Linked DNA regions of Sus scrofa. The main gene of each other region encodes a partner of the protein of the gene in region 6 in a complex. Links are inferred from orthologs where the notes say so. Each region holds a gene or a part of one and is shown on either strand. Other genes may lie near its edges. The genes, in order: GTF2H4, GTF2A1, RRN3, GTF2F1, UBTF, POLR2F and TAF1A.

Region 1 (4,347 bases), on a different chromosome or scaffold from region 6:
CGCCGAGACTTCCTCTGGAAAGGAGGAGAGAAAAGCAATAAGCCCTCTCTCAGGGTCAGTGCCCTTCATCTTCCTCCAGATACATCAGATCCCTCCCAATGCACAGAACTTCAGCTCCCAACATCTCTCCCCCTCCCCCGAGGGACCCCAGTATTCTGTCCTGGCAACTGTCCCCTGCTTCTGCCTTCGGAGACCCCTGTTCCTTTTGAAAGGCCAAGGCAACATACCACCCTGCCTCTTCCCTAAAAGCCATGTATCTGGGCGCTCATACCTTCCTCTGGAAAACAAGGCCCAACTCACGGAGATGTTGCAGGAAGTTCAACAGAGAATCACTCATACCTTCCACAGAGTAATCCTGGGGAAGAGAGGTAGCCGGCTGGGGTCCAAAACCCAGCCCATTCTCCCTTCCCCAACCCCATATGCTCCTTCCCACTTTTCCCATCCCTGGTGTTCTTCGTTTTTTTGTTTTTTGCTTTTGTCTTTTTGTCTTTCTAGGGTCGCACGGGTGGCATATGTAGGTTCCCAGGCTAGGGGTCCAATCAGAGCTGCAGCTGCTGGCCTACACCATAGCCACAGCAACGCGGCATCCGAGCCGCGTCTGCAACCTACACCACAGCTCACAGCAACACGGGATCCTTAACCCACTGAGCGAGGTCAGGGATTGAACCTGCGTCCTCATGGATGCTAATTGGGTTGTTAACCGCTGAGCCACGACGGGAACTCCTCTTTGTTCATTCTTCTCTTTCACTCTATTGACCCCTAACCTCATTTCCTTTTCCATCTCTCTACCCTTCATCTTGCCCACCCAAGCCTCTACTAGCTCCAGCCCCCTGCTTACCTTGCCCAGAGTAGAGAAGCTGAGCTGGAAGAGGAAGGAGAGAATCTCCACTAGGTCCATGCCCCGACTCTAAGGAGGAACGGGCAGATGTGGGGAGGAAATGAGAGAAAACCGGGGAACAGAGTCTACAGGCAGCAGGCCCTCAGTGGGTCCTGGGAAAAGCAGAGCATGCCAGCAGGCAGCCCCCGACCTCCTCACCTGGGCTGTCTGCAGGTACTGCAACATAAAGTACCAGAGCTGGGCCGGGGTGTCCAACAACAGGAATTGGAAGCCCGCAGAGGTAATGCAAGGCGGCTCTCCAGGTTCAGCACTACAGAAAGGGACCATGGCAGAGGTTTGCTGAGAAAGGCCACCATTCCACTTGTCCGCTCACATTTTTCTTGGTTTATCTCTGGCCATGCTCTACGCAGCTCTCCTTTTGCAGCCAACCCCCTCCAATCCTGATCCGACCCAAACACTCAGGTTAGCAGGGACTCGAGGAGACGGCAAAACAGAGCTGTTGTACCTCTGTCTTCCTCACCTCTTCATGAGCCCAGCCTGGCTGAGGAGCTGAGCCAAGTCCTGGCTGACGGCTGCACTGGGGGAGCCCACCATGAAGTGCAGGACCACCTGAGGAACAGAAGAGACCAGAGAGACAGATGCCTCTAAGGGCCCTGGGATGGGAGCACAAGCAGACACACACAGAGTCCCAAGTCCTTACCTCCCATCGCTCCTCAGCATACTTGTCAAGCGAGGGCACATCCCGGGCATGCTTGTCTGGTCCCAGCTGACTTGTGTCATCAGACCAGGCCTTGCCCCTATGCCAGTACGGCCGAGAGTAAGGAACCCTGCCTGTGTTCCCTGCCCACCACCCCCCTTCCCTCTTTCTACCCTCATCTCCAGGGGCCACGAGTGGGAGACATATCCTATACCACGTAGCAAAGTCTGGTCCAACTTATTCCTAAAGGAGCTCCCAAAGGTGGAGCCCACAAGGTTCCAGAGAGGTCCCCCAGGGCCTCTTAATAAGTAGTTTAATGAGCAGTTTAATCACTAGTTCCCCTGCCTGGCCTAGGAAAAGATGGAAGTGACATACCCACCCAGAAGGGCAATGCGGAGGTTTTGGCGGAAGATGGGGTTGAGGATGAGGCCCTGGAGGCCACCAGGGAGCAGCTGGGTGTGCCAGATACGGAGGCCGCTCAGCAGCCCCGTGCTTTCCTCCTGGGCTCTGGAACAGAAGAGGAGAGGTGAGGGGAGTGTCCAGAGAACAAAAGGAAGGAAGCCCATAAAGACCACCATTTCTGCCTTTTCTGAACTGGTGGTCCTTGGAACACTGTTTCACAGAGTGAAATTGGTATCTTCTTAAGGCAAATTTCTTTACTGCAGCACCTACCAGAACCTTGTTATAGACATCACAACTCTCCAAGAGGCAAAATGGAGTATGCGTAGTTTCCCAAACTTGTTTAATTACAAGTTTAGTGGTGTTCCCTTGAATATACTCCAGCAGTTTGGGAAACCTGGCTGTTGAGAAATTTGTATCTGGCTGAAAGTGCAGCAGAGACTCACTTGCTGAATTCCTTCTTCACCCACAAGGCTACGGCAGCTTGTGGCAGAGGCTGCTCCAGAAAGAGCATCCGCATCACCCAGTTCTTAGCTAAAGATGGGAGCTCCCTATAAGGGGGCAGAGGGAAAACGTTAATATCAGAAACTGCCTCAGATCTGCATCCCTGCCCTCAAATGCCTCTCAAACATCTCATCTCACCCCTGGCCCTTTTACCAGTCTTCCTGCCCCCACATCTCCATCTGTTTGGGCCTGACACATTTTAGTCTCCAAGCCCCCCAGAGCTAAGCTTCTACCCATGATAACTTATTGCAGTCTGCAGGCCTCATTACATTTCCCTACTATGGTCCCTGCCATGAACGGGGTCCTCACCTGAAGACAGCCAAACAGGTGGCAGGGTGCCCATACAATCGGTCCAATACAACAGGGCTCAGGCCCCCTAAGAATTCCTGCAGATTCCTGCATTGTAGGTGTACTCGATTCAGTCCACCCCTTGAAGGGGTGCTCTCCATCACCTGAGAGATGCAAGTGTTAGTGGACCTCCGAAATCCATGCCAGTGTCACCCCCTCACCGTTCTCATTCCAATTCCAGATCCACTGGCCCCTGCAAAAATTCATCTTTTCTACAGTTTCCTTTTTCACGTCACTCATCTCCTCTTGTTTCTCCCAAACCTGACCACCCTCCTCTTCTTTCCTCCCTCCTCACTGCACTCCTGATCTCAACTCAAGTCTTCTCCAATTTCTAAGTGAAAGAATTGTCAGCTGTTCCATATTTGCAAAAATATTTTGTATTTCAGTGACTTATCTACACCCTAGGCAAAGAAAGTTTTCTGAGCCCAGTTCTCTCTCCCCTCGACCTCTCCTGGTCTGATCAGCCTATAAACTTCAATCTGCCCATTCTCTCCATCTATTTCTTGACCCCACTCCTCGTGCTGGGAACGGCAATAATTACCTTTCCCCTCCAAGTCTCATAAATCTAATTCCACCTCTTTCCTCTTCCCGTCCCTAAGACTACTTCACTCCATTCACCCTGACTCACACCGTATGATCTCCTCCTAACTCGTCCCCTACTTTCTTCCCAATGCTCGTCTCTCATCAACTCTCTCCTTCTTATACCTCCCGCCACCCCTTCTCTCCCAGCCCCCTTACCACTCAGTGTCGACCCCCTCCTCGTGCACTCCGAGTCTTAAGCCGTCGCTTAATCGGAGCCAGTGTCTCGCATTAGCTCTCAGGAATAGGGGAAAGAATGGCGGAAAGTGAGCGAAAAATATGGGGAGGGGGACGAAGGATTTCACCCACGCAAGTCCAGAGTGGAGGATTCAGAAGAGGAGTGGAGAGGTAGGGAGGAGAAGAACCGGCGCTGCACTCGCTCGCCACAGGGCATGCTGGGAATTGGAGTCTTGTCCTTCCCAGCCCGGGAGCCAGCTGAAGCGCGTCCGACTACAACTCCCAAAAGGCACTGCGGGGAGCCAAGCGGAGAGAGGCTGGCTTTTACGTAAGAGAGCCGGAGGCTCCGGAGGTCTGGCTGTTCGTTCCGCATCGCTCTCCACCCACTCGGCTAACGGCGAGTCTAACCAACCCGAGATCATGTGGGGACCCTGAGAATAGAAGTTCCCCGAGGTCTTCCTATCCGAGGTGCGGAAACCACTGGGTGGTGAGGAGCTCAGGTTCAGAGATGCAGAAACCTGGGTTCCTTGAGCTCAGTTGCTCCTCGTAAAACTGGAATAATGCACTTTCCAGAGCATTTTCTCGAATTAGGAGTTAACTCCATCCGGTGTGCCTTCCTTGGCAAGTAAATACTCAGTAAATCTTAATTGTCACGTCCTCCATGCTTCCATCCACCTCCCCGCCCCCCCCCGCCCCCTGTTAGAAGATCCTAATAAATGCAGTTTAAAAAAACAAACAATTGTTTGGTCTGATTTGATATATTAAACTACTGCTTGTTAAGGGAAGGGAACGTCTTAAGCCAGAG
Region 2 (3,657 bases), on a different chromosome or scaffold from region 6:
GAATAGAAGGGAACTTAACCTGATTTAAAAGGCATCCATAAAAAGCCTACAATAAACATTATACTTAACAGTCAATTACAGAAAGGCTACACCTCAACAGTATCAAAACTAAAAAATTGGAGTTCCCATCGTGGCGCAGTGGTTAACGAATCCGACTAGGAACCATGAGGTTGCGGGTTCGGTCCCTGCCCTTGCTCAGTGGGTTAACGATCCGGCGTTGCCGTGAGCTGTGGTGTAGGTCGCAGACGCGGCTTGGATCCTGCGTTGCTGTGGCTCTGGCGTAGGCTGGTGGCTATGGCTCCGATTAGACCCCTAGCCTGGGAACCTCCATAGGCCGCAAGAGCGAAAAAAAAAAAAACTAAAAAATTATTTAAAAATTAAAACCAAAATGAAACATTTTTTACCTATCAGGATTGGCAAAAATTAAGTAGCCTGACATATCAAGTATCAGTAAAGATATATAGACATATAAACCATTACATACTAAATGGGATAACTGTTATCAGTACAACGATGTGGCACTTTATTGTAAGGAAGATATGCATCCCCTATGATTCAGCAATTCAATGTTTAGGTGTAACACTTAGAGAGACTCTTACATGTGTCTCCGGAAGACAGAGGCCATAGTATTTTGTAACTCTAACAGTTAACAAGTAGAAACAACCCTCATGCCCAACATACCAGAAAAATGGATAAATGATATATTCAACAGTGAAAATAATTACATGTATATGTGACAATTTAGATGAACCTCAGGAATACTATCTTGGGGAAAAAAATCAACTTGCAGAAGAATACATAAATATTCCACTTAGATTATAAACAGGCATGCAAAACTAAAAAATATGCTCTTTAGGAACATAAATACATACGGTAAAATATAATGACAAGTTAATGATAAACAGAATTTCTGAGCATGGTTATTCTGATGGCAGAAGGAAGAGAATGGGGAGTAGGAAGGAGGATCCAGGGGGCTTTATTTAAGTAATGGGTTTTTTTTTTTTAACTAGATGTGGACACTGGAGTATTCATACTTTAAAATATTTATTCATTGTATCTATTCAATATTTAATGAAATGGTATTCTTTAAGAAATATTACTTAGATAATTTAGAAGAACTCTGCACTAAGAAACAATATTACATCTTAAGCTGCAAAAGGAAATTAATGGTGAAAATTGTGGTCAGACAAACATCATCTTGAACACAAGTAACTAAGCTAGAATACAGAGGAAAAACAAAGAAATATGCTCCTACTAATATACAACAAAAAATAAATATGAAAGAATGAAGATAGACACTAAGAGCATATAAGGTTATCTAAGGAACTGGTATGGATTATGGAACAAAATGAGGTTCTAAATAAATTTGTCACATTTATTTAGCTTTTTGTAAAAACGCCATTTTAAATTACAGAAGAAAAAGATTAACTACATTTATCTATTCTACCAATGTCTTATGTTTAAGCCACATCATGAATCCATAAGCCAAAGAATTAGAATTACTTGCACTGTCTCCAACACCTTTAAAAATATAACTTAATTTGGTATACATCTATTTTTTTGTTACCAGCTATAGAAATAATATTTTATAAACACAACCAGAACAATCTAAAAATCTTACTAACAATCTAATTTTATATTTAAAAGCCTATGTTGCAGAGTACCCTAACAGCCTCTGAAAAAATATAATTTATCAGTTTGGCACCACGTGAAAGAAGAAATGATTAAATATCTTCTCATTTCAAGTCATTTACTAGAAACTTACTTCTTCCACCTGCCCATCTTCAGCTCCATCTTTCTCTTTGTCTTCTTCCTCATCATCATCATAGTCTTCTTCTTCATCTTCATCTTCTTCAGATGATGTATCCCCAGTACCATCAACTTGTAACACCAAAGGAGCTTGCTGTTGAGCAGGCTGGGCCTGTGGCTGCTGTTGGCCAGTTGCAGGTATCTGTGCCTGTGCTGGTGTAGGTGCCGCCACTGTTGTAGGTATAACTTGTGTCTTATTTCCTGTAAATAAGATTTGCTGAGGCTGAATGATGACTCCTGTCTGTGGTGAAATCCCTCCAGGAAGAGGAGTTAGCACCTAAGGCAAAAGAAAAACTATATATTAGAAACTAGCTGGAGGATCAATAGTTCAGTTTTATTACTTGGTATATAGAAATAGCCCCAATGCTAAAGAATCACTAAAAATGGCCGTATCGCTACATAGCTAAAGCTACCAAAACACAAGAGTAATGTTTAACTAGTAAGTGTATTGATCCACTAAATTTTCATTTTATCATTCAAATTTCCAAAGGAAAGAAGATTTTCTGAAGATAACTGCTCCATTTATATCAAGTATTTTCTAGGTATATGCCAGATTTCAGGCCACATGTTATTACTTTATTTGCTTGCGGTATTAAGGTTTAATAACTTGCAAAGCTTATAGTCATGTCACTAAGAAGCAAAATGTGAACCTAGGCTTTCTGATTCTGCTCTTATTATTATTCTACACTGCCTCCCTATGAAGATCATTGCACTGGAAATCTAAAGCCTTGGGTGCTAGTTTTGACTAAGATCACACATAAAGATGTAGCAGAAGCAAGTCATTTAACCTCTCTCACTGTTTCAACTGTGGCTACAAGCTACAACTTGGTAACATAAAAATACTGATACCAATACCCACTCCTAATATTCTGATTTACTTGGTATGAGACAAAACCTATTCATTTTATTTAAAGCTCCCCAGGGAGTTCCCATCATGGCTCAGCAGTAACAAACCCAACTAGTATCCATAAGGACAAGGGTTCAATCCCTGGCCACATTCAGTGAGTTAAGGAAACAGTGCTGCCATTAGCTGTGGTATAGTTGCAGACATGGCTTGGATCCTGTGTTGCTATGGCTATGGTGTAGGCTGGTAACTGCAGCTCCAGTTTCAACCCCTAACTGGGAACTTCCATATACCACATGTTCAGCCCTAAAAAGCAGTAAATAAGCAAATAAATAAATAAATACTCCCCAGATAATTCTAATCATAGAACCACAGCTAAGAATCACCAAATCAGATGATTTCTAAAGTCCCTTCCAGCTTCTGAATCTAGGATTAAGTAAACCACAGCTCAAAAGGAAGATATCAACAAATATTAATTACATCTATTATAATGAACATATTTATGATTATAGTTATTACATAAAAAGTGGGGAAAGTCTAGTAATAAGTAAAAGGCAACAAATGGTAATTACTTGCCATTAAGTGCAAGGAAAGCAAAAAAATAGGACAGTATTTCTCTGAAGAAGTTTACAGATTAAAAGTGCAGTAACAACTCAAAAAAATAGATGAGAAAATAGAAGTATGGAGTTGCTGTTGTAGCTTAGCAGAAACAAATCTGACTAGCATCTATGAGGACACATATTCAATCCTGGCCTCACTCAGTGGGTTAAGGATCTGGCACTGCTGTGAGTGTGGTGTAGGTTATAGTCATCTCTCAGATCCTGCATTGCTACGGTTATGGTGTAGGCCAACAGCTGCAGCTCCGAATGGACCCCTAGCCTGGGAACTTCCATATGCCATAGGTGCAGCCCTAAAAATATATATATAATAAAAAAAATTTACAAAAAAACCCCAGCAAAATACAAGTATGATATTGCATTATGACAGCAGAGAGGTACTAAATT
Region 3 (3,657 bases), on a different chromosome or scaffold from region 6:
TCTTTTTAGGGCCATACTCATGGCATATGGAGGTTCCCAGGCTAGGGGTCTAATCAGAGCTACAGCTGCCAGCCCATGCCACAGCCACACAACACCAGATCCAAGCCACATCTGTGACCTACACCACAGCTCATGGCAACGCCATATCCTTAACCCGCTGAGCAGAGGTCAGGGGTCAAACTGGAGTTCTCATGGATGCTAGTCAGGTTTGTTAACTGCTGAGCCACAATGGGAACTCCCAGGTCTCATCTTCTTTTTTAATTTTTTTATTTGTTTATTTTTTGGTCTTTTTAGGGCTGCACCCTCGGCATAAGGAGGTTCCCAGGCTAGGGGTCTAATCAGAGCTGTAGCCGAAGGCTTACGCCACAGCCACAGCAATGCCAGATCCAAGCCGAGTCTGTGACCTACACCACAGCTCACGGCAACTCGGGATCCCCAACCAACTGATCGAGGCCAGGGATCGAACCCGCAACCTCACGGTTCCTAGTCAGATTCATTTCTGCTGTGCCATGATGGGGACTCCTCATCTTTTTTTAAATTCTTAAGATATTCTGGCTATCAGAATCCTAAGATTTTTAACTCACTTATACGAGAAAGTTCTGGTATCTCAGTTATACTACTAAACAGATAATGAATACTTTTTTTTTTCAGTCTTTTTGCCTTTTCTAGGGCTGCACCCTCGGCATATGGAGGTTCCCAGGCCAGGGGTCCAATCGGAGCTGTAGCCACAGGCCTACACCACAGCTCACAGCAACTCTGGATCCTTAACCCACTGAGCAAGGCCAGGGATCAAACCCGCAACCTCATGGTTCCTAGTTGGATTCGTTAACCACTGAGCCACGATGGGAACTCCATGAATACGGTTATTGTGGTTATTTTTAAAATGTCTTGAGATAATATACATTAACAACAAAAGGTGTTCCCCAGCATTAAATAATTCAATGGATCTAAAAACTAGCTGAACATGAAAACTAACCCTATAGATTCAGGGCTTTGGAACCCTTGGATTTGTGACCGGGCTATTTCTAAAGCTCTACAAGTGATTCTGAGATTTAGCCGGCACTCGAAACCAGCGATAATCTGCACCCATGGGAACCCTTCTGCAGTGCCTCTCAGACTGCACACGTTCAACTTAACCAGAAACAGAAATAGGGATTAAATTACAGTTGGTTTTTGACTCATTATGCAAATCATAGGGGAAAAAACAGACCAATTAAGTTTTTTTTTAAAACAAAGGATGCAACCTCCATCTTTTCCCAAATAGCTCTTTTCAGAAGCTGCTAACACACGCTTTGAGGCAGAGTGAGGTGAACCTTCCTGCCCAGGACCAACACCCTTCCAGACTATTCGAGGAAGCTACGAAAGAGTTGCAAAAAGAGGCCTCTATTTTTTTGGTTTTGCTTTGTTCTCAAAATAGAAAACCAATGCCTAAAGTTTTAAAATTCTAGATTAAAAAAAATTTAGTTTGGGCTACTTAAGAGCAACTGAAAGAAAATAAAACAGTTAAATATCCAATATGAGATTTTAATTAAGGCTTGAATTGAAAGGAAGAGCACCGCCTAGCGGACCAAACACGGGATGACACTTTCCGAGCACTCAGATGAACTGCACTCAGATGAAGCCCTCTGCTTCTTCCTTATATTGAAAAGGGCTTCCTATTTTTTATTTATTTATTTATTTTTTTTTTTTAATGGCCAGAAGTATGGCATATGGAAGTTCTGGGGCTAGGAGTTGAATTGGGGCTTACAATGGCTGCTGGCCTACACCACAGCTCACAGCAATGCAGATCCTTAACCCACTGAGTGCGGCCAGGGATCAAACCCACATCCTCATGGATACTAGCCGGGTTCTACTGAGCCGCAATGGGAACTCCCCAAAAGGGCTGGCTATTATTAGAGGCACTAAGTAAAATGAGCTGAAGACAACGAAATACTCACCTCGGTCTCCCTTTCCATACCATCCCCTCATCCCTCATTTTTAAATGGAAAATTGTGGGTGAGACTAAAATAAGCTACAATTATGTTAACGACATACTCACCAATTTAAAGCTACAGAGGTAAAACATAAAAAACTGCACGTGGCAGGAGGCATGTGTGGGCAACAGGAGTTTGTCAAAGATGGTTATGAGATCTCGATATAAATCCTTTGTCTTGTTGTTATCAATCTTACCTACAAAGAAAATTTGGCATTTCAGTTCTATAAAGATATAATTTTCAAGCTACCAGTTTCACTTATCAATTTTTAAAAAGAAAATAAAACTACTAAGAAACACGTCATGGAGGTCTGTCATGGCTCAGTGGTTAATGAACTAGACTAGTATCCATGAGGACACAGGTTCAGTCCCTGACCTTGCTCAGTGGGTTAAGGATCCGGCCTCACTGAGACCTGTGATATAAGTTGCAAACAAATGGGCTCTGATCTAGCATTGCTGTAGCCGTGGGATAGGCTGACAGCTACAGCTGCGATCTGACCCCTAGACTGGGAACCTCCACATGCTGCAAGTGTGGCCCTTAAAAAAAAAACAAACAAAAAAAAAGACCAAAAAAATAGAAAAAGAAACACATCCTCAACGGATACCTGTATAACTGATTTACACTGCTGTATACCTGAAACTAACACAACTTTCTAAGTCAACTATACTCCAATAAAATTTTATTTAAAAAAAACAACAACACATCATCCATTGACCTATAGGGGAAAAAAAAGCCATCTTCATCTTGCACAGGTTTTCCTTTTCACGTATAACAACCCAGCAGTGGCAAGAAAGAGGCACTCATCTCACACACACACTCCTGTGATGCCATAAACTGTCAAAGCGCAACTTAGAAGAAGCCCTTTGATCCAGCGACTCAACTGCTGGGAATTCACCACACAGAAATAATCGAAGATATATGCATAAGAACGTTCGTTACACTGTTATTTATAATGGCCAAAAAAAAAAGCATGGGGGTGGTTTTAAAACATCATTGGGCATTCCCTTTGTGGATTAGTGGTTAATGAACCTGACTAGGATCCATGAGGATGCAGGTTCCATCCCTGGCCTCGTTCAGTGGGTTAGGGATCCGGTGTTGCCATAAGCCGTGGTGTAGGTTGCAGAGGCGGCTCAGATCCCACATTGCTGTGGCTGTGGTGTAGGCCAGCAGCTGTAGCTCCAGTTCAACCCCTGGCCTGGGAACCTCCATATGCCACTGGTGCAGCCCTAAAAAGCAAAAATAAATAAATACATAAATAGCAGGGGGAGGAAAAAAAAGGAGAGACCAGTTAAATCTATATGATTAGCAATAACTATTTTAGAATAACAATGAATGGGATGAGAAAAATGTTCACAATAGGTGAAAAGGGCAGATAATAAACCACTTACAGTGTGATTCTGCCGGATCACTGAGAAAAACACTCATATAGCCATGCAAACAGGAAAGTAAAACATAAAAATGCTAATAATAGGGAGTTCCCGTTGTGGCGCAGTGGTTAACGAATCCGACTAGGAACCATGAGGTTGCGGGTTCGGTCCCTGCCCTTGCTCAGTGGGTTAATGATCCGGCGTTGCCGTGAGCTATGGTGTAGGTCACAGACGCGGCTCGGATCCCGCGTTGCTGTGGCTCTGGCATAGGCCGGTGGCTACAGCTCCGATTCGACCCCTAGCCTGGGAACCTCCAT
Region 4 (3,657 bases), on a different chromosome or scaffold from region 6:
ACCAAAGAACAGTTAGAATAAATGAATTCAGTAAAGTTATAGGATAACAAATTAACAGATAAAAATCTATTGCATTTCTATACACTAACAAACTATCAGAAAGAATTTAAGGAGTTCCCGTCCTGGCACAGCAGAAACGAATGTGACTAGGAACCATGAGGTTGCATGTTCCATCCCTGGCAACACTCAGTGGGTTAAAGATCTGGCATTGCCATGAGCTGTGGTGTAGGTCGCAGACGCGGCTCAGATCCTGTATTGCTGTGGCTGTGGTGTAGGCCAGCAGCTGTAGCTCCAATTTGACCCTTAGCCTAGGAACCTCCATATGCTGTGGTGCGGCCCTAAAAAGCAAAAAAAAGAGCGAGAATTTAAGAAAAAAATCCTATTTACAATTGCATCCAAAAGAACAAAATACCTAGGAATAAATCTAACCAAGGAGGTAAAAGACCTATACTCAGAAAACTATAAGAAAGGGAGTTCCCAGAGTTCCCATCGTGGCTCAGGGGTGAACTAATCCAACTAGTATCCATGAGGACGTGAGTTTAATCCCTGGTATTGCTCAGTGGGTTAAGAATCTGGTGTTTCTGTGAGCTATGGTGTAGGCCGCAGAAGCAGCTCAGATCCCCTGTTGCTGTGGTTGTGGTGTAGGCCAGCAGCTGCAGCTGTGATTCAACCCCTAGCCTGGGAACCCCCATATGCCGTGGGTGCAGCGCTAAAAAGACAAAGAAAGAAAAATAAAGGGGGAGTTCCCTGTTGGTCTAGTGGGTTAAGGATCCAGCATTGTCACAGCAGCAGCTTGGGTCGCTGCTGTGGTGTGGTTTCAATCCCTGGCCTAGGAACTTCTATATGCTGTAGGCACAGCCAAAAAAAAAAAAAAAAAAAAAAAAGAAATGAAGCACTGATACACAATACGACACAGATAAATCTTGAAAACATGATGCTCAGTGAAATAAGCCAGACACGGAAGGACAAACATTGTCTGAACCCACAGTCCTAGAGGAGTAGAATCCACAGAGATAGGAAGTAAATGATCGGGGAGGAGGTGGGGAGTTAGTGTTTAAAGGGGACAGAGTTTCAGTTTGGGAAGATGAGAAAGTTCTGGAGCTGGATGGTGGGGATGGCTGCCCAACAATGTGAATGTAACTTCATGACACTGAGCTGTGTACTTAAAAATGGTAAATTTGGAGTTCCCGTCGTGGTGCAGTGGTTAACGAATCCGACTAGGAACCATGAGGTTTCGGGTTCAGTCCCTGCCCTTGCTCAGTGGGTCAAGGTTCCGGCATTGCCGTGAGCTGTGGTGTAGGTCGCAGATGCGGCTCGGATCCTGCGTTGCTGTGGCTCTGGTGTAGGCTGGCAGCTACAGCTCCGATTGGACCCCTAGCCTGGGAACCTCCATATGCCGCGGGAGTGGCCCAAGAAATGGCAAAAAGACAAAAAAAAAAAAAAAAAAAAAGGTAAATTTTATGTTACATGTATTTTACCAGCCATTGATCCAGCCATGGGACCTCTTACCTGGAGGGAGCCCTGTAGGCCAAGGAGACCCCCCACCACCGCTGCCCCGTTCTGCCAATTCCTGTTCCAGGGCTCAGCTCAGCCATCCCTTCACGGCTCTTACAGGGCCGGGTGCATCCCTGAGGGCTTCCCACTGGTCCAGGAGCTCCCTGAGGGGCTGGTGAGGCTGGCTTGGTCACCACTGAGTCCCCACCTCTCAGCCCAGATCAAAGTTAGGGGGACACACCCCATTTCCAATCGTTTTGGCTCCCACACTCACCTCTCCCACTCTTCCTCTGCCTCCTCGGCTGTGAGAGTGCGGTGCCGGGCCAGCGGTGTGAAGTTGTACCAGTTGTGCACGGGGAAGGCCTCAAAGGCCCCATCGGGGCACTGGGTAAAGATGTAGTAGGATGTGTTTTCTGTCACGCCTCCCTTCTTTATGCCCTTGAACCTGCAGGAGTCGAAGGTCATGGTCTGCCCGTGGAAAAGGGACCAGCCCCAGCCTCAGCCCCAGGCCCCCTGCCCACATCCCAGACCTGCCCTCTCTCCAGAGCCACCTGGGTTCTCCAGCAAAATCTGAGGCTGGAAAGCTTCAGGCTGGCCCTTCCACTGTCTGAGCCTGGATTTCGACATCTGGAAAGCAGGGCTCCAGAGTTCCCATCATGGCACAGCAGAAACGAATCCAGCTGGGAACCATGAGGTTTTGGGTTCCATCCCTGGCCTCGCTGAGTGGGTTAAGTGAGCTGTGCTGTAGGTCTCAGACGCAGCTCGAATCTGGCGTTGCTGTGGCTGTGGTGTTGGCCGGTGGCTACAGCTCCAATTAGACCCCTAGCTTGGGAACTTCCATATGCTGAGAGTGAGGCCCTAAAAAAACAAAAGACGAAAGCAGGGCTCCCCACCTTGAAGAGAGGGCTTATGGCTCCCTGCCTTATACATTTCATGGTCCCTTCTGGAAGGACTGCGTTAGATTAGCTGTGAAGAGCAAGGACTCTACAGTTAGACCCCTCTGCATTTGCTTCCAGAATCTTCCTGGCCTTCACTCTCACTTTTTTTTTTTTTTTTTTTCTTCTCTAAGGCTGCAGGTGCGGCATATGAAGTTCCCAGGCTACAGGATGAACTGGAGCTGCAGGTGCCAGCCACAGCCACAGCAACACCAGATCCAAGCCGCATCTGCAACCCGCACTATAGCTCACAGCAACACCAGATCCTTGACCTACTGAGGGAGGCCAGGGATCGAACCTGCATCCTACTAGTCAGATTCATTTCCCCTGCGCTGCAATGGGAAATCTGACTCTTTTTTCTTTTGGCCACACATGCTGCATGCTGAGGTTCCTGGGCCAGGGATGGAACCTGCACTACAGCAGTACCCAAGCCACAGCAGTGACAATGCTGGGTACTTAACCCATGGAGCCACCAAGGAACTCCCACCCTCACCCTTTTCTGCCCCACAAGTCCTGGCCCTCTTCCTAGCAATCTTAGAGGGTCCCTCCCACCCACCTGGCGCGCATAGCCCTCCCAATCTGCCCACTCTGTCAGTATCATGCTGTGACAGTCCCTAGGGCTGGGCGTTCTTTGCCTCCATGCTCTCTGTTCTGCCTAAGGGCCCTCCAGCCACCTAACCTCCAGTGCTCCCAATCGTCCAACCCCCAGGTCCCCAGCAGCCCCTCAGTGTGAGCACCAGGACCTGAGCCTCGCCCTCCTGCATCCTGCCCCTCCGACCTCCTGCCCTGGCATCCACTCGGCTCATCTTCCCAAATAAAGGATAAGGTGTCACCCACACTGTACAGCCGGACGTGCAAGTTCCCGTGCAAGTTCAGCCAGGGTACCCAAGGAGTGAGGGCGGGAAAGGCACTTACTTCCGGCCTGCCTTGCCATTGATGCGGAGCAGCCAGGGCTGGTCCTCCGGCCGGAACTCCTTCAGGACGATGCCGTACTTCTTCCTCCGGGCCTCCTCCCGGAGCTTGCGGTTGAACTCACTGCCAGCGCCTGATTCTGGCATCTCCTCCTCTTGGTAAATCTTCTTGTTACTCAGGTCACGTTCCAGCCGGGCCTGAGGGATCAGGGAGCAACACCTCTCATGAGGGAGCCTGCCCTCGCCCCCCTCTGCCCCTGCCAACGACACCCCTTCCTCCCTTCCAAGTTGAGAAGTGGCCATTCAGAGCTGATTTC
Region 5 (4,391 bases), on a different chromosome or scaffold from region 6:
TGCCCCGCTGCGGCTTGCGCGGCGAGGCCCGGGTGCCAGGCTCCCCTCTTGGCTCCCCGCCGCCGCTGCCGGGGGTGGGGGTAGTGGAGGGTGGGGGGCAGCGCCCGCAGCCTGCTTTCCCAGGGCTGGCCGAGCCTTTTTGACAAGCCGATTGCGTGGCGGGGATTGGCTGGTCCGGGCGTGACGCCGGTTAACAACAAAGGTGGAGTTGGAAGAAATTAGATTAAAGGAAAGGGAAAAAAAAAAAAAAAAATTAAAGGGGGAGCTGGCAGGGGACAGGCGGCAGAGACCGAAGGGGAGATGCACGAAGCGAGGTCTCAAGCTCCAAGTTCACCCCGGATACCCCTTTGCCTAAACCCAACGGGGTTTTTGCTCTTTATCCAGACGCCGGCCCAGCCACTGAAGCCGGGGTGGGAGGGACGGTTGCTGCTTCTTGAGAAATACCCCCACCTCCCACCCTGACACCCCCTTGCTACGGCCCAGGGGGAGAACTTTTTGCTTGGACTTCCTCGGATCCTAAACCCGTAGGAGGTGAGGGGCACTGAGAACAACGAGGGGCTCGCTCCAAAACCCGGAAGGCCCTGGCGGAGCCCCGAGATCGGACTAGGCGGGGTGCTCCCCGGGTTTTTCAATGTGTTGCAAGCCTAAGAGCTATTTGCTTGCTTTTATCTTTTTCTTTCTTTTTTGTTTTTTTGTAACACTCCCCCTTGCTCCCCACCCCCCACCCACTCCGCTCTGGCTCTAGGGTTGCAAAAGCAAAGAGCAATAAAAAAAAAAAAAAAAAAAAAAAAAAAAAAAAAACCCGCGCACACACTCAGACACACACCAGTGGCGACAGGGGAGAGTTGGAAAGACGCAGGAGAGAAGCAGGAGGCAGGAGGCAGCAGGGAGGGAGCAATGGGAGCGGGAAGCCGGCAGGTTCCCTCGCAAATCCCCCTCCGGCCCCACGTCGCCTCGCCGGCCCCGGCAGGGGAGCGAGGATCCGGGCAAGCAGATGGAGGAGTGGAGCTCGCTCTAGGCAGCGGGCTTGGCCGGAGAATGGAGGAGCCGCCAAGCGATCGGCTGATTGGAAGAGAAACGCAGAGCGATGGAGGCGGGGGTAGGAGGACGATTTCTCTGCGGGGACTGGCGGCGGCGTATACGCCCGGGTCGGGCGCTGCAGAGCTTGGCTAGCTTTCAACCCGCGCTCGCCGGCTACAGCCCCGCGCGCCCCCACCCCTAGCCCTCCCGGCGGCTCCGCAGGTGAGTGCGAGCTGGGGGCAAAAAAAGACCCGAAAGTCTCAACAAGCCCGCCCTGCCAAAGGAAAAAAAAAAAAGAAAAGCATTTTTTCCTTTTCTTTTTTTTTTTATTTTCATGCAACCCCCAGAGCGGTGGGAGGGAAGGGGTGAGGCTGAGCCGCTCGGAGGAGGCGGAGGGGCCAGGCGAGGCCGGAGTGGCCCGGGAGGCGGCGGCGCCGAGGCGGCTCTGACGGGCGAGCGCTCGGAGCGGCGCTGCGCTGCGCCGAGGCGGGCGGGCGGGCGGGCGGAGCGGGGCGGGCGGAGCGCGGCGCGTGGGGCTCGCCATTAGCCGTCGCTCCGCTTCGCCATCTCGGGCTTTGTCTGGCGACTCGCTGCCCCGGCGTCGGCTGCGGCGGAGCTGCGGCTCGGCTCTTCGGCCCGCAGCACCCCTAAGGCGCCCCTGGCCCGCACTCCCATTCACACGCTCGGTAAGTGAGCCCCAGCGCCGCGGATTTCGGGGGAGAGGGGTTGCTGCGAGCGGCGGCAGCGACGATCTCCATGCGCCCGGGCAGGCCTGGGGAGCCATGCCGGGCTGGATTGAACCAGCTCCCAGAAAGGCTCCTCCGCCGGAGCCCGTTGCCCCCTCGCCGTTTGCGGAGTGTAAGCACAGGATTTTTTTTTTTTAATTTGCAAGGAGGATATTTTGTAGGAATAATTTTTTAAAAGTTCGTGTGTGTGCTGCTTGGCAGCGAGGCGACCGCGAGGCAGGCTCCGAAGCCTGGCGCCGCGATCGGCGGGCGTGCGCCCCAAGCCGGTGGCTACGCTCCGGGGATAAGGGTGGGCGCGGACCGCCCGCTCCGGGAGGCAGGCGAGGGGAGCGGGTGAGGGCCGGCGTGGAAACCTGAATCTGAGCTGGGAAGACTTAAGAGAGAGCTCCGGAGCAAGGCTGCAGGCACCCCCCGAGCCTCCCTGGCCGCCGGGGGGCCCTCCGGGCACCCTCTCTGCGGCCGCGCCTCGAGCCCTCCCTCCCGCGCCGGCCGAGCCTGCCAGTTCCCCCGCGGGTCTGGCGAGGTCGCTCTCGGCGCCCGCCCGCCCGCCTGCCTCGGCTCCGAGCCCCGCCGCCATCCGGGCGGCTGCGTGTCTCCCTGCCCCGGCCCCCCCCCTCTCCGGCGGCAGCAGCCGCCGCCGCCGCCGCCACCACCACCACTACCACTACCACCACCACCACCCCCTCCCCTCCTTCCTTCCCTCCGCCTCGGCCGCCCGGGTCCCCCAGCTCCCGCCCCTCCTCCCAGCTGCCCCCCGCGGAGCCCGCCCGGGCAGGCTGTGGGAGGGAGCGGAGCCGGCGAGGCGGGCGGGCTGGCGCTCGCTCCCCGGGGGTCGGTGTGCGCTCTACGGGGAAGGACGCGCTCGCTGCCCCGCTTCTCCCGCCCCCCCTCCCGCTCCTCCTCCTCCCTTCTCCCTCCTCCTCCCCGCTCCGGCGGCGGAGGCTGCGGCGGCGGCGGGGGGTGTGCGAGCTGAGGCCGGGGCCGGCGGGCGGGCGGCGGGCGGGCTGCCTGCAGGCGGAGGGCGCTGTGCTTTGTGCTTTTCGCCGCGAGGAGCAGCAGGCAGCAGCCACAGCCGCCGCCGCCGCCACAGCAGCAGCAGCCGCCGCCCCAGCGCTGCCGCCGCGCCCGGAGGAGGAGCCGCTGCCGCCGCGGGAGGGAGCTGCGGCTGTGCCCGGCCGAGCGGGGGAGGGCGCCGCCGCTCAGAGCCGGGGAGGGAGCCGCCGGAGCGGGAAGCCTGGAGGCCGCGCTGTGCCGGGTAACCGAGGCGGCTGAGGACGCGCGCTGGGGTCGGGGCCGGGCGGCGGGGAGCGAGCCGCGGGTACGGTGGACGCCCGGAGGGGACCCGGGACGACCTCCGGGCAAGGGACTGGGCGAGAGAGGGCCAGGGCACTGGAGAGGACGCCGAGAACCGGGGGAGGGGAGGGCAGGAAGCGAGGCCCGAGCTGAGTCCCGGCAGCAGGCGGAGGAGCCCGCGCTTCTCCGAGCCGGCAGGCGCAGTTCTCGCCGGCCGCCGGAGGGGGCGGCGGGGCCGGTGAGCGCTGCGCCCCCGCCTCCCGGCCGCCGTCCTCCCGCCCTCTCCTTGGCTCGGCTCCCCGGAGGCCGGGGCGGGGGCGCCGGCAGGGCTGGGCCGCAAGCTCGAGGGAGGAGGCGGCGGTTCCCGCCGTGGTCGCGCCTCTGCGCCGGGCTCCTCCGTGCGCGTCGGGGTGGCTGGGCGGCGGCGGCGCCTCTACCCGGGGTGGGTGGCTCGGGGGCGGGGGGCAGGCCAGGCCGCTTCTCTCCGGCTGCTCGCCCGCCCAGGCGGGCGGGGACGGCGTCGCGAGCCCGCGTGGGGGGGGCGGCGGGAATCCGGATCCGGTCCCCGGGGGAGGTGCGGCCGCTGCGCTCCGGGGCCGGCGGCGGCTGCGCTGCGTCCGGGTCCCCGCCGGGTTGCGGAGGCGGGGGGAACCGGCCGGGGGGAGCGGGAGGAGGAGACTGTGGCGCGTGCCCGATTCCGCGGCCGCGCGCGCCCTTTACCCGCCCTTCCTCCTCCCCCGCCCTCCAGCCTGGGGCCTCCCCGGGGCGGGCGCACCGAGGAGGAGGAGGAGGAGGAGTTTTTTTTTTTTTTTTTTTTTGGCCGGGGTGGGGGAAGGAGGGTGGAGGGCGGGCGCTAGCTGCACGCGGGAGCGGGGAGCAGTCTCTCGCGTGGGCAGGGGAGGGCGCACGCCGCGGAGCCGGGCTGTAGGGGCTGGGGGCAGTGGGAGGGAGTTAGGAGGAAGTGGAGGAGGGCATTCCCACCCCCACCGACTCATCTCCCAGGACCTTGGCTTACAGAGTGGGGACTTGGGGCTCCCTCCCCCTTTGGGGGAGGGAGGGGATAGACAGTTCCTCACTTCTCAGCCCGTCTGAGTGAGGACTGCTTTTTTTTTTTTTTTTTTCCTCTTTTTCCCAAAAGGTGAGGTGGCTTTGACCCCGGCCTGCCTGGCCAGCACGACCCGAGGAGGTGGCTGGACGGCTGGAGAATGAACGGAGAAGCCGACTGCCCCACAGACCTGGAAATGGCCGCCCCCAAAGGCCAAGGTAGGAGCCCGGACCTTTAGCCCTCTTTAATTAAATTCTCTTTCCTACGGGGGTCTGCAGGGCCCACTC
Region 6 (4,118 bases):
GCTTCGGCTTCCAGCCTAAACTAACACACAAGCATCCCCATCCATCGGTCACACAGGACACAAAGCCCCACTTTAGCCATGAAGCTAGTAACTCATTCACCAGAAACTCGTCTTCCTCGGCATCTCCCACTTTCTCAGCCCACATCCAATCTACCAAAATATCTCTTGCATCCGTTTTCTCATCTCCAGCAGTATCAGCACCCAAGTGCCAGCTACAGGTCTCACCTGGAGGTCCGTGAGAGCTCCTGAATTGGCCTCTCCTACTGTTGCTCCTCCCCAAAGTATTCCTTTTTTTTTTTTTTTTTTTTGCCTTTTTGCCTTTTCTAGGGCCGTTCCTGCGACACATGGAGGTTCCCAGGCTAGGGGTCTAATCAGAGCTGTAGCAGCCGGCCTACGCCAGAGCCACAGCAAGGCAGGATCCGAGCTGCATCTGCAACCTACTATCACAGCTCACAGCAACGCCAGCTCCTTAACCCACTGAGCAAGGCCAGGGATCGAACCTGCAACCACTGAGCCACCACGGGAACTCCCCAAAGTGTTCCTTTAAAGTGTAAACTGGACCATGCCACTCCCCAGCTCAAAACTTGTCCGTGGCTTCCCACCACCTGCAGGCTACAACATCCTGCCTGACCTTGGCCCTTACCTCTCCAGCTTTATTCCAGGTCACTCTCCCCCTTGCTCTTTATGTAGCCCCACCCTGCAGCGCTCCTGGTACACAATAAACATTCAACACATGTTTGCTCAATGAATGAAGGGGATATTTCACCTGTCAGTAAACTAACCACCCCAGAAGCTACAGGCTGTGGTCCAAGTGGACAAAATCCTTCAGGCCCACCCTGCGGGCCACCTCCACCACCCAGGACTAGACCTCTCCTCACTCTAACTGGCCTCACTACAGACAAGAAGCAGATGCATTCAGTCATCACTGGCCGGGCTATCTGGCAACTTGGGCTGCCGAGAGGAGAGCCCAAGGCTAAACACTTACCTCCTCGGCATTTTCCAAGTCATCTAGCCCTTCGTCCTCCTCCACATCGTCAAAGTCATCGCCATCAAAACTGTACAAGAAGAAAGCAGAGCATCACTTACAAGAATCAAAGAGGGCATAGATCTGATAAGCAGGAGGTGCTCAATAAATATGCACTTACTGAGTAAATCATTTTATAATAATAATTTATTAAGTCATTTGATGTCCTCAACTTACTAAAACAAAGCTTCCTTTTCTTTTCTTTTGGTTTTGTCTTTTCTAGGGCCACACCCGCGGCACGTGGAAGTTCCCAGGCTAGGAGTTTAATCAGAGCTGTAGCCACCAGCCTACACCAGAGCCACAGCAATGCCAGAGCCAAGCCGCATCTGTGACCTACACCACAGCTCATGGCAACGCCGGATCCTTAACCCACTGAGCAAGGCCAGGGATCAAACCTGCAACCTCATGGTTCCTAGTCAGATTCGTTAACCACTGAGCCATGACAGGAACGCCAAAGCTTCCTTTTCTATTCCCTCCAGAGCCCTATTTCCATGCCCCCCTGTGGGAGAAAAATTCATGAAAGAGTCGTCCATCTTCGCCATTTCCAATTCTTCTCCTCACATTCTGTCATCATCTCACTCCCAAAGACTTTCAGCTCCTTGGCTCCACCAAAACCACTCCTTTCAAGTTCATCAATGATTTGCACGTTGCTAAATCCACTGGTCTATTCTTGTTCTCATTTAGCCTGATCTGTCAGGTGGCACACCGAATCACTCCCTCTCACTCAAAACACTCTCCACTGGAGTTCCCGCTGCGGCGCAACAGGACTGGCAGCATCTCTGGAGCACTGGGACACAGGTTCGAGCCCTGGCCCGGCACAGTGGGTTAAGGATCCAGCACTGCTGCAGCTGTGCCATAGGTCACAACTGTGGCTCGGACCTGATCCCAGGCCCAGGAACTCCAGATGCCACAAGGGCGACCAAGAAAGAAAGAAAGAAAAGGACACCTCGCGGTCTTGGTGTTCCCCCGCCTCACAGTGGCTCTTTCTCAGCTTCTCTTCCCTCCAGGCACTCCACAGTTAGGATGCTCTGACGCTCATTCATCTCCTCTTCTCTACTGACCACCCACCCCCCTGCCGCCTCCCCATGATCGCCCCCTCTCTTAGCTTTGACTAATACTCTTATGCTAAAGACGCCTCTATTTTTGTCTCTCCTCCACACATTCAGGGAATCTTTCCGGTTCTAGCTTCAAAATAAACCCAGAAATCAAAACCACTTCTCACTACCTCTACTACGATTACCTAGTACAAGTCACTCCTTTTTTTTTCCTGGATTACCGCAAGCCTCCCAGACTTTTACCACCTCAAGTCTCCCCAGACCCTCCGCTGGGTTTCTTTTACATACTTCGTGCAATTCACACGACCCCTGCAGTATCCGTCTGTGGGCCTGTCCCCTTTTCTAGAAAGGGCCCCCTACCTGAAGAGCAGGAGCTATGCCTAATTCACCTCAGTAATTCCAAATCAAGAGACAGAGCCCGACTCCGTGAAAGTTTGTGGAAAGATACCACGTTCACTGATTCTCTCCGGATCCTCAAACTGGGGCTTTTCTTGGCCCAGCCTGTGACCAGGTCTAAGCTCCTGGTCCCCCCGCCTTTCCCTTCTTCAGCTCCGCGGGCCCCTCAATACCCCCAGTCCCCTCACGCATTGCCCCTCGGTTAACGGCTCCTTAACCTCCTTTGACCAGGCTCGGCAAAGCTCACTTTGCTCCCGCACTCACTTGTCCTCGTTGTCAGACATGACGCCCGCGCCGCAGCTCCCTGGTTCTGCGCTAAGAGTCGCGCGGAGACCCGCAAACTGCGCGCCTCCGCCACGAGCTGCGCCACGCGCACTCTGCGCCTGCGCTGTGACCTAGAGGCAATTGCTTCCGGGAGGATCGGCAGGGCGATAGTGCGCACGCGCCGAGAAGCTAGAGCTTGTTACCATGGTAGCCAGAGTGTATAACCAGAGCTTGAGCAGCGGAGATCTCAAAAGCATTCCTGCAGGGCTCCGGCGCGGGTGCTCCTTCAGAGCCTAGCGGCCACTCTCAGTGGGCACCCAGCCGGAGTCTTACCTAAGAGTGAGGTTTCCGTTTGGGTCTATCACACAACGGGCAAGGTTACCCTAACGCCCCTTTCCTCCAGAGGTGGCTTCCCTGCCACAGGCGCCGGGTCTGGATGAGGTCTCTGTTCGCATGTGTGTATCTGCCAGTGGATCTGTTCCGGGTGGGAGGATTGGGCACTGTCGCGATATTGATGGGCGGCGTCACGATTCTCTTGCGGGCCCCGCCCCCGCCAGACCCAAACTTTGGGTGGTGTTGGGGATGCGGAAGCAGAGGTTGTATATGGGAGACAGGGGGTGTGTCGTCGCGTTTTTCCCTCCTCAGAGCCCTCCCATGGCTTCCCAGGAGAGGGTGGAGACTGTGACCAAAGGAACTGGCTTCTGGCGCTGCCCCAAGCCGGCCGCTTACACCCCAAGAACCTGCGAGCTGCTCAGAGGTCAGTGGTGGTCGGGCGGGGCGGGGCGGTGGTGTCAGTGCATGAAAGGACAAAAGGAGAGCGGTAGTCACTGTTAACCTCTGTAACTCAGTTCTCACCTGCATGACTTATGGCTTGCAATTGCTGTTTTCATTTTTCAGATAAGAAGCCTGGGGTTCAGGAAAGTTTGGGGGTCCTGCAACTCGAAAGTGGCCAAAAGTCAAAGAACTCACGAATTTTAGAGTAGTTAACTGCTATGCATCCCTTATATCACACTTTTTTTTTTTTGGTTATTCTTTTTTTTTGTAATTGTTATTTCCCCAATACAATTTTTTTTTTCCTACTGTACAGCATGGTGACCCAGTGACACATACTATATCACACTTTCAATTTCTCCAGAGAAGCCTTATTTCCTCCCCACCCACCACCAACACAGTGCAACCAACCGTTAGGTGCCCACACACTCCCAGTGCCTTTTCCTTCACTGGGCTTAGCGTAACCTGTAGTCAGATACCTTGTGTGTCCCTATGAATTCATGTTGAATTAACATCCATCTGCCCTTCTAGTTCATGAACTCCCATCAGGACACGGTGCCTGTTTTGGCTCGCAATTGTAACTCCAGCCCCTGGCACATGCTTAATGA
Region 7 (3,657 bases), on a different chromosome or scaffold from region 6:
TCAAATCCCAGATCTTCCGTTTACTGCCTGTGTGAGCCTGGCAAAGTCGCTTAACCTCTCTGAGCCTTAATTTCCTTGAGGATACTAATGGTGCCCGTCTCACAGCACTGTTATTATTACTTTCCCTTTTTAGGGCCACATCCTTGGCATATGGAGGTTCCCAGGCTAGGGGTCGGATCGGAGCTGTAGCCACTGGGCTACATCAGAGCCACAGCAATGCGGGATCTGAGCAGCGTCTACGACCTACACCACAGCTCATAGCAACGCTGGATCCTTAACCCACCGAGCGAGGCCAGGACTGAACCCACATCCTCATGGATCCTAGTCGGGTTTGTTAACCACTGAGCCACGCAAAGAACCCCCTCATAGCACCACTGTTAAGATTAGACTGGTCCGCAGAATAGCAGGTGTCATATAAACCTCTGCATGTTGTCTGGTACACAGTAAATGTTTAAAGTTACTTTAAAACCTTACTTTCAATTATATGCTACAAAGAATAACGATCCAAATGGAGATGTCATTATTATATAAACACAGGGGTTTGACAGCTGAACCCAGGCAATGCTAAGTGTTCATCAATAATCTGAGTCAAGACTTCCTTGGCACCTGCTTGGCCCCTGCTGTAGCACCATCGAGAGGTTTAAAACATGAGCAGCGTGGTCCTCTGCCTTTAAGCACCTTACAGGCAGCAGGGTCTGCACAGTGCTTAGAGACGCCAAGTGGTTTACAGTAAAGACATCAACAGAGCAGCCCCGAAACATCTTATAATCAGGACTCTTCTACCTCTAAGGTCCAGTCAGGTCTGAAGCCTGAAGCAAAGTTCCCACTGATAATGAATTTCCTAACCAACTAAAACAGATATAATAAATCAACGATATCCTTTCTGCTCACACACAAGGTAAAAGTGACCAGGGCTGCTCCTTTGCTCGTGCTTAAAGCATGACACCGATGATTGCCATGCTCAGAGGCACAGTTCTGAATACCCAGCTCACCAGGGACTCGCAGTGATCTGCTAAATGAAAAACCACGGCAATTTTATGAGGGCCTCAAAAGCCACTGAAAACGACTGCAAACAGCTGGGAGAAAAGCTGCTCCCCTGTGAACGTAAAGGGTGATGACCCAAGTCACAAAGAGCTTCACGGAGAAGCAGTGAAGCCTGGCAGGGACCCCTCCAGGCCCCCTCCCATCAGAAGGCGCACACTCAGCTCTCAGGCAGGGGTAAGGAACAGCACTCATACTGAGAGCACAACAAATCCAGACAGAATTTTTGTATGTTTCACTTGTGACTTCCTATTTCCTGTCTTCTGATGTAAGCAGAAGAAAACAGCTGAAGACACAGTTTGAGAAATGCAGAAACGTAAACAAAGAACTTTAAAAATGGACTGATATCCTCTAAAATACTGGGAAATATTTATGGTGATGCAGTAACAGATACCGTGTGCTTCTTACTTACCCCATTAAAGTCTGTCTGAGATATTTTGCCAAATATTTCCAAGCAGTTATATTTTTAGTGCATCCAGCAAAATCTAAGATTCCAAACAATACCTCCAAGGCCAGTTTACGGTGTTCTTCCTTCTCTGCAATGGTCGTAACAATCAGAGGTTAGAGAAAGCACACGAGCGTGCAAAGATGAAAGAGTACATTCTGTTGATAAAGGACCACTACATCATAAGCCTTCTAGTCTGGCTAGAAGTTTAAAACAATTCACTATCATCACATTCTCCTGCAATGAATCTGAACAACTCAGTTCAGCCCACGCTAATGACAGCAGGGTGCCCGGTCCCATCTCTTCATGGGTTTATGAATGTTATGATACTATTCATAACATTATCCTACCTGTCTTAGGAGTTCCTGCTGTGGCACAGTGGGTTAAGAATCTGGTGCTGCTGCAGCTATTGTGTAGGTTGCAGCTGCGGCTCAGATTCGATCCCTGTCCCAGGAACTTCCACAGGCCACGGGTGTGGCCAAAATAAATACATAAATAAATAAAGTGCCTGCCCTATTTGGGCATTTTATACATGTTCTCTTCTACCAGTGGGGCACCGAGGTAGTCCCACTGCCTACTGGACTTAATAAGTGGATTTCCTCCAATGCTGAGCTGACACTCTGTTAAGTGTAAAAGGACATGAATTACAGAAATTGAATCCATTTGCCAACTCTTGTCTGACATTCTAGAGCAGGGCTCAGCAAACTCTTTCTGCAAAGGGCCAGACCCTAAACATCTGTTCTGCAAGCCTTACAGGTTGGCACAACTACACAAGCTGTTGCAGCGCAAAAGCAGCCACAGACAGTACAGGACTAAACTGACACAGCTGAGCACCAATAGAACCTAGTTTTCTACAAACAGGTGGGGTCCTCCGCCGACCCCTAGTCTACAGCCTGTCTGCACAAAGAGATGGAAAACGAGAATTACCTGATTTTCTCAGTAATCTATGGAATTCTAACATCAGTTTATGAGATGGTACAATCTGATACAAAATCTGGAAGAAAGAATAATCTTGTGATTTGTACACATTCTAAAGGCATTTCTCTAATTTCAACTTACTTTCAAATAAAGCTTTTAGTGTCTAATGTGTCCTCAGCAAATGAATCAAAGATTTAAAAGATACTTTACTTTTATCCACGTTTAATTTTGGTATTGAAAAGCATTCCATGTAAAGCTATTTTTTTTAAAAATATTCCCTGCTCATAACAAAATAGCTATTTGGGGGGTGGGAGGGTTTGGAGAGACAGAAACATTTAATTTTCACCATGTTAAACTGTTTACCACACTTAAAAACTTTGTTTCCTTTCAGCAACCAAGAATGAGGAAAAAAATAAAGGAAAAAAGAGAAGATCACACAGTAAGATAAAAGGCAAGGGTAGTTATTTTGAAAGACTGAGGTCTGGAACACAGCACATTAAGAGTATTCAAAGTCAATATTTTAAAAGTCTTTTTACACAATAGGGAGAATCAATGGTTCTTCTGTTAAAGAACAGGATGGACTATTTTTATGAATATGCCAAAAACAGGATTACAAGTGTATTTCTCCTTTAAACAAAGTTAATATTAGAGAGGAGGAGTTCTCTCGTGGCTCAGCAGGTTAGGGTCTGACGTGCTGAGGGTTTGATCCCTGGCCCAGAACTTCCACATGCCATAGCTAAAAAAAAGTGCGGCTGAAAAAAAAAAAAAAAAAAAAGAAGAAGGAAAAATAATTTATTCTGTCTACTTGCTGGGGTACTTTAACCTCACACAGAAATAATTTCCTACAAAATAACCAGTAAATCTGTTACTTTTCCTTAATCTTTTATTTTTTAAATGGAAGTTCCCAGGCCAGGGACTGAATCCAAGCCACAGCTGTGGCAACGATGGATCCTTTAACCTACTATGCTAGGCCAGGCATCAAACCTGAGCCACAGGAGCGACCCAAGCTGCTGCAGTGGGATTTTATTTATTTATTTATTTGGTCTTTTTTTTTTTTAGGGCCACACCCACGGCATATGGCGGTTCCCAGGCTAGGTGTCTAATCGGAGCTGTTGCTGCTAGCCTACACCATAGCCACAGCAACCCCACATCCGAGCCGAGTGTGCAACCTACACCACAGCTCACAGCAACACAGGATCCTTAACCCACTGAGCAAGGCCAGGGATTGAACCTGCAACCTCATAGTTCCTAGT

Evidence for each region.
Region 1: POLR2F (region 6) and GTF2H4 share a complex: the UniProt entries of both Homo sapiens proteins name them as parts of the TBP-based Pol II pre-initiation complex. The link is inferred for Sus scrofa from reciprocal best matches to the Homo sapiens genes POLR2F and GTF2H4.
Region 2: POLR2F (region 6) and GTF2A1 share a complex: the UniProt entries of both Homo sapiens proteins name them as parts of the TBP-based Pol II pre-initiation complex. The link is inferred for Sus scrofa from reciprocal best matches to the Homo sapiens genes POLR2F and GTF2A1.
Region 3: POLR2F (region 6) and RRN3 share a complex: the UniProt entries of both Homo sapiens proteins name them as parts of the pol I pre-initiation complex. The link is inferred for Sus scrofa from reciprocal best matches to the Homo sapiens genes POLR2F and RRN3.
Region 4: POLR2F (region 6) and GTF2F1 share a complex: the UniProt entries of both Homo sapiens proteins name them as parts of the TBP-based Pol II pre-initiation complex. The link is inferred for Sus scrofa from reciprocal best matches to the Homo sapiens genes POLR2F and GTF2F1.
Region 5: POLR2F (region 6) and UBTF share a complex: the UniProt entries of both Homo sapiens proteins name them as parts of the pol I pre-initiation complex. The link is inferred for Sus scrofa from reciprocal best matches to the Homo sapiens genes POLR2F and UBTF.
Region 7: POLR2F (region 6) and TAF1A share a complex: the UniProt entries of both Homo sapiens proteins name them as parts of the pol I pre-initiation complex. The link is inferred for Sus scrofa from reciprocal best matches to the Homo sapiens genes POLR2F and TAF1A.

What each region holds. Positions count from the first base shown.
Region 1 is NC_010449.5:23,397,845-23,402,191, reverse strand, and holds the start of GTF2H4 (general transcription factor IIH subunit 4), read right to left. Parts: upstream 2,888-4,347; coding exon 2,748-2,887; intron 2,486-2,747; coding exon 2,381-2,485; intron 2,043-2,380; coding exon 1,911-2,042; intron 1,636-1,910; coding exon 1,539-1,635; intron 1,448-1,538; coding exon 1,359-1,447; intron 1,149-1,358; coding exon 1,037-1,148; intron 908-1,036; coding exon 839-907; intron 356-838; coding exon 272-355; intron 15-271; coding exon 1-14. UniProt on the Homo sapiens protein: Component of the general transcription and DNA repair factor IIH (TFIIH) core complex, which is involved in general and transcription-coupled nucleotide excision repair (NER) of damaged DNA and, when complexed to CAK, in RNA transcription by RNA polymerase II.
Region 2 is NC_010449.5:103,981,816-103,985,472, forward strand, and holds part of GTF2A1 (transcription initiation factor IIA subunit 1), read right to left. Parts: intron 2,087-3,657; coding exon 1,766-2,086; intron 1-1,765. UniProt on the Homo sapiens protein: TFIIA is a component of the transcription machinery of RNA polymerase II and plays an important role in transcriptional activation. TFIIA in a complex with TBP mediates transcriptional activity.
Region 3 is NC_010445.4:7,547,956-7,551,612, forward strand, and holds part of RRN3 (RNA polymerase I-specific transcription initiation factor RRN3), read right to left. Parts: intron 2,170-3,657; coding exon 2,039-2,169; intron 1-2,038. UniProt on the Homo sapiens protein: Required for efficient transcription initiation by RNA polymerase I (Pol I). Required for the formation of the competent pre-initiation complex (PIC).
Region 4 is NC_010444.4:72,690,547-72,694,203, reverse strand, and holds part of GTF2F1 (general transcription factor IIF subunit 1), read right to left. Parts: intron 3,539-3,657; coding exon 3,345-3,538; intron 1,940-3,344; coding exon 1,769-1,939; intron 1-1,768. UniProt on the Homo sapiens protein: TFIIF is a general transcription initiation factor that binds to RNA polymerase II and helps to recruit it to the initiation complex in collaboration with TFIIB. It promotes transcription elongation.
Region 5 is NC_010454.4:18,989,012-18,993,402, forward strand, and holds the start of UBTF (nucleolar transcription factor 1), read left to right. Parts: upstream 1-1,503; 5' UTR 1,504-1,706; intron 1,707-2,933; exon of another isoform or gene 2,934-3,021; intron 3,022-3,342; exon of another isoform or gene 3,343-3,501; intron 3,502-4,197; 5' UTR 4,198-4,264; coding exon 4,265-4,322; intron 4,323-4,391. UniProt on the Homo sapiens protein: Recognizes the ribosomal RNA gene promoter and activates transcription mediated by RNA polymerase I (Pol I) through cooperative interactions with the transcription factor SL1/TIF-IB complex.
Region 6 is NC_010447.5:9,914,851-9,918,968, forward strand, and holds the start of POLR2F (DNA-directed RNA polymerases I, II, and III subunit RPABC2), read right to left. Parts: upstream 2,872-4,118; 5' UTR 2,760-2,871; coding exon 2,740-2,759; intron 1,056-2,739; coding exon 986-1,055; intron 1-985. Other genes in the region: C5H22orf23 (UPF0193 protein EVG1), read left to right, coding at 3,193-3,496. UniProt on the Homo sapiens protein: DNA-dependent RNA polymerase catalyzes the transcription of DNA into RNA using the four ribonucleoside triphosphates as substrates.
Region 7 is NC_010452.4:11,345,300-11,348,956, forward strand, and holds part of TAF1A (TATA box-binding protein-associated factor RNA polymerase I subunit A), read right to left. Parts: intron 2,481-3,657; coding exon 2,414-2,480; intron 1,578-2,413; coding exon 1,454-1,577; intron 1-1,453. UniProt on the Homo sapiens protein: Component of the transcription factor SL1/TIF-IB complex, which is involved in the assembly of the PIC (pre-initiation complex) during RNA polymerase I-dependent transcription.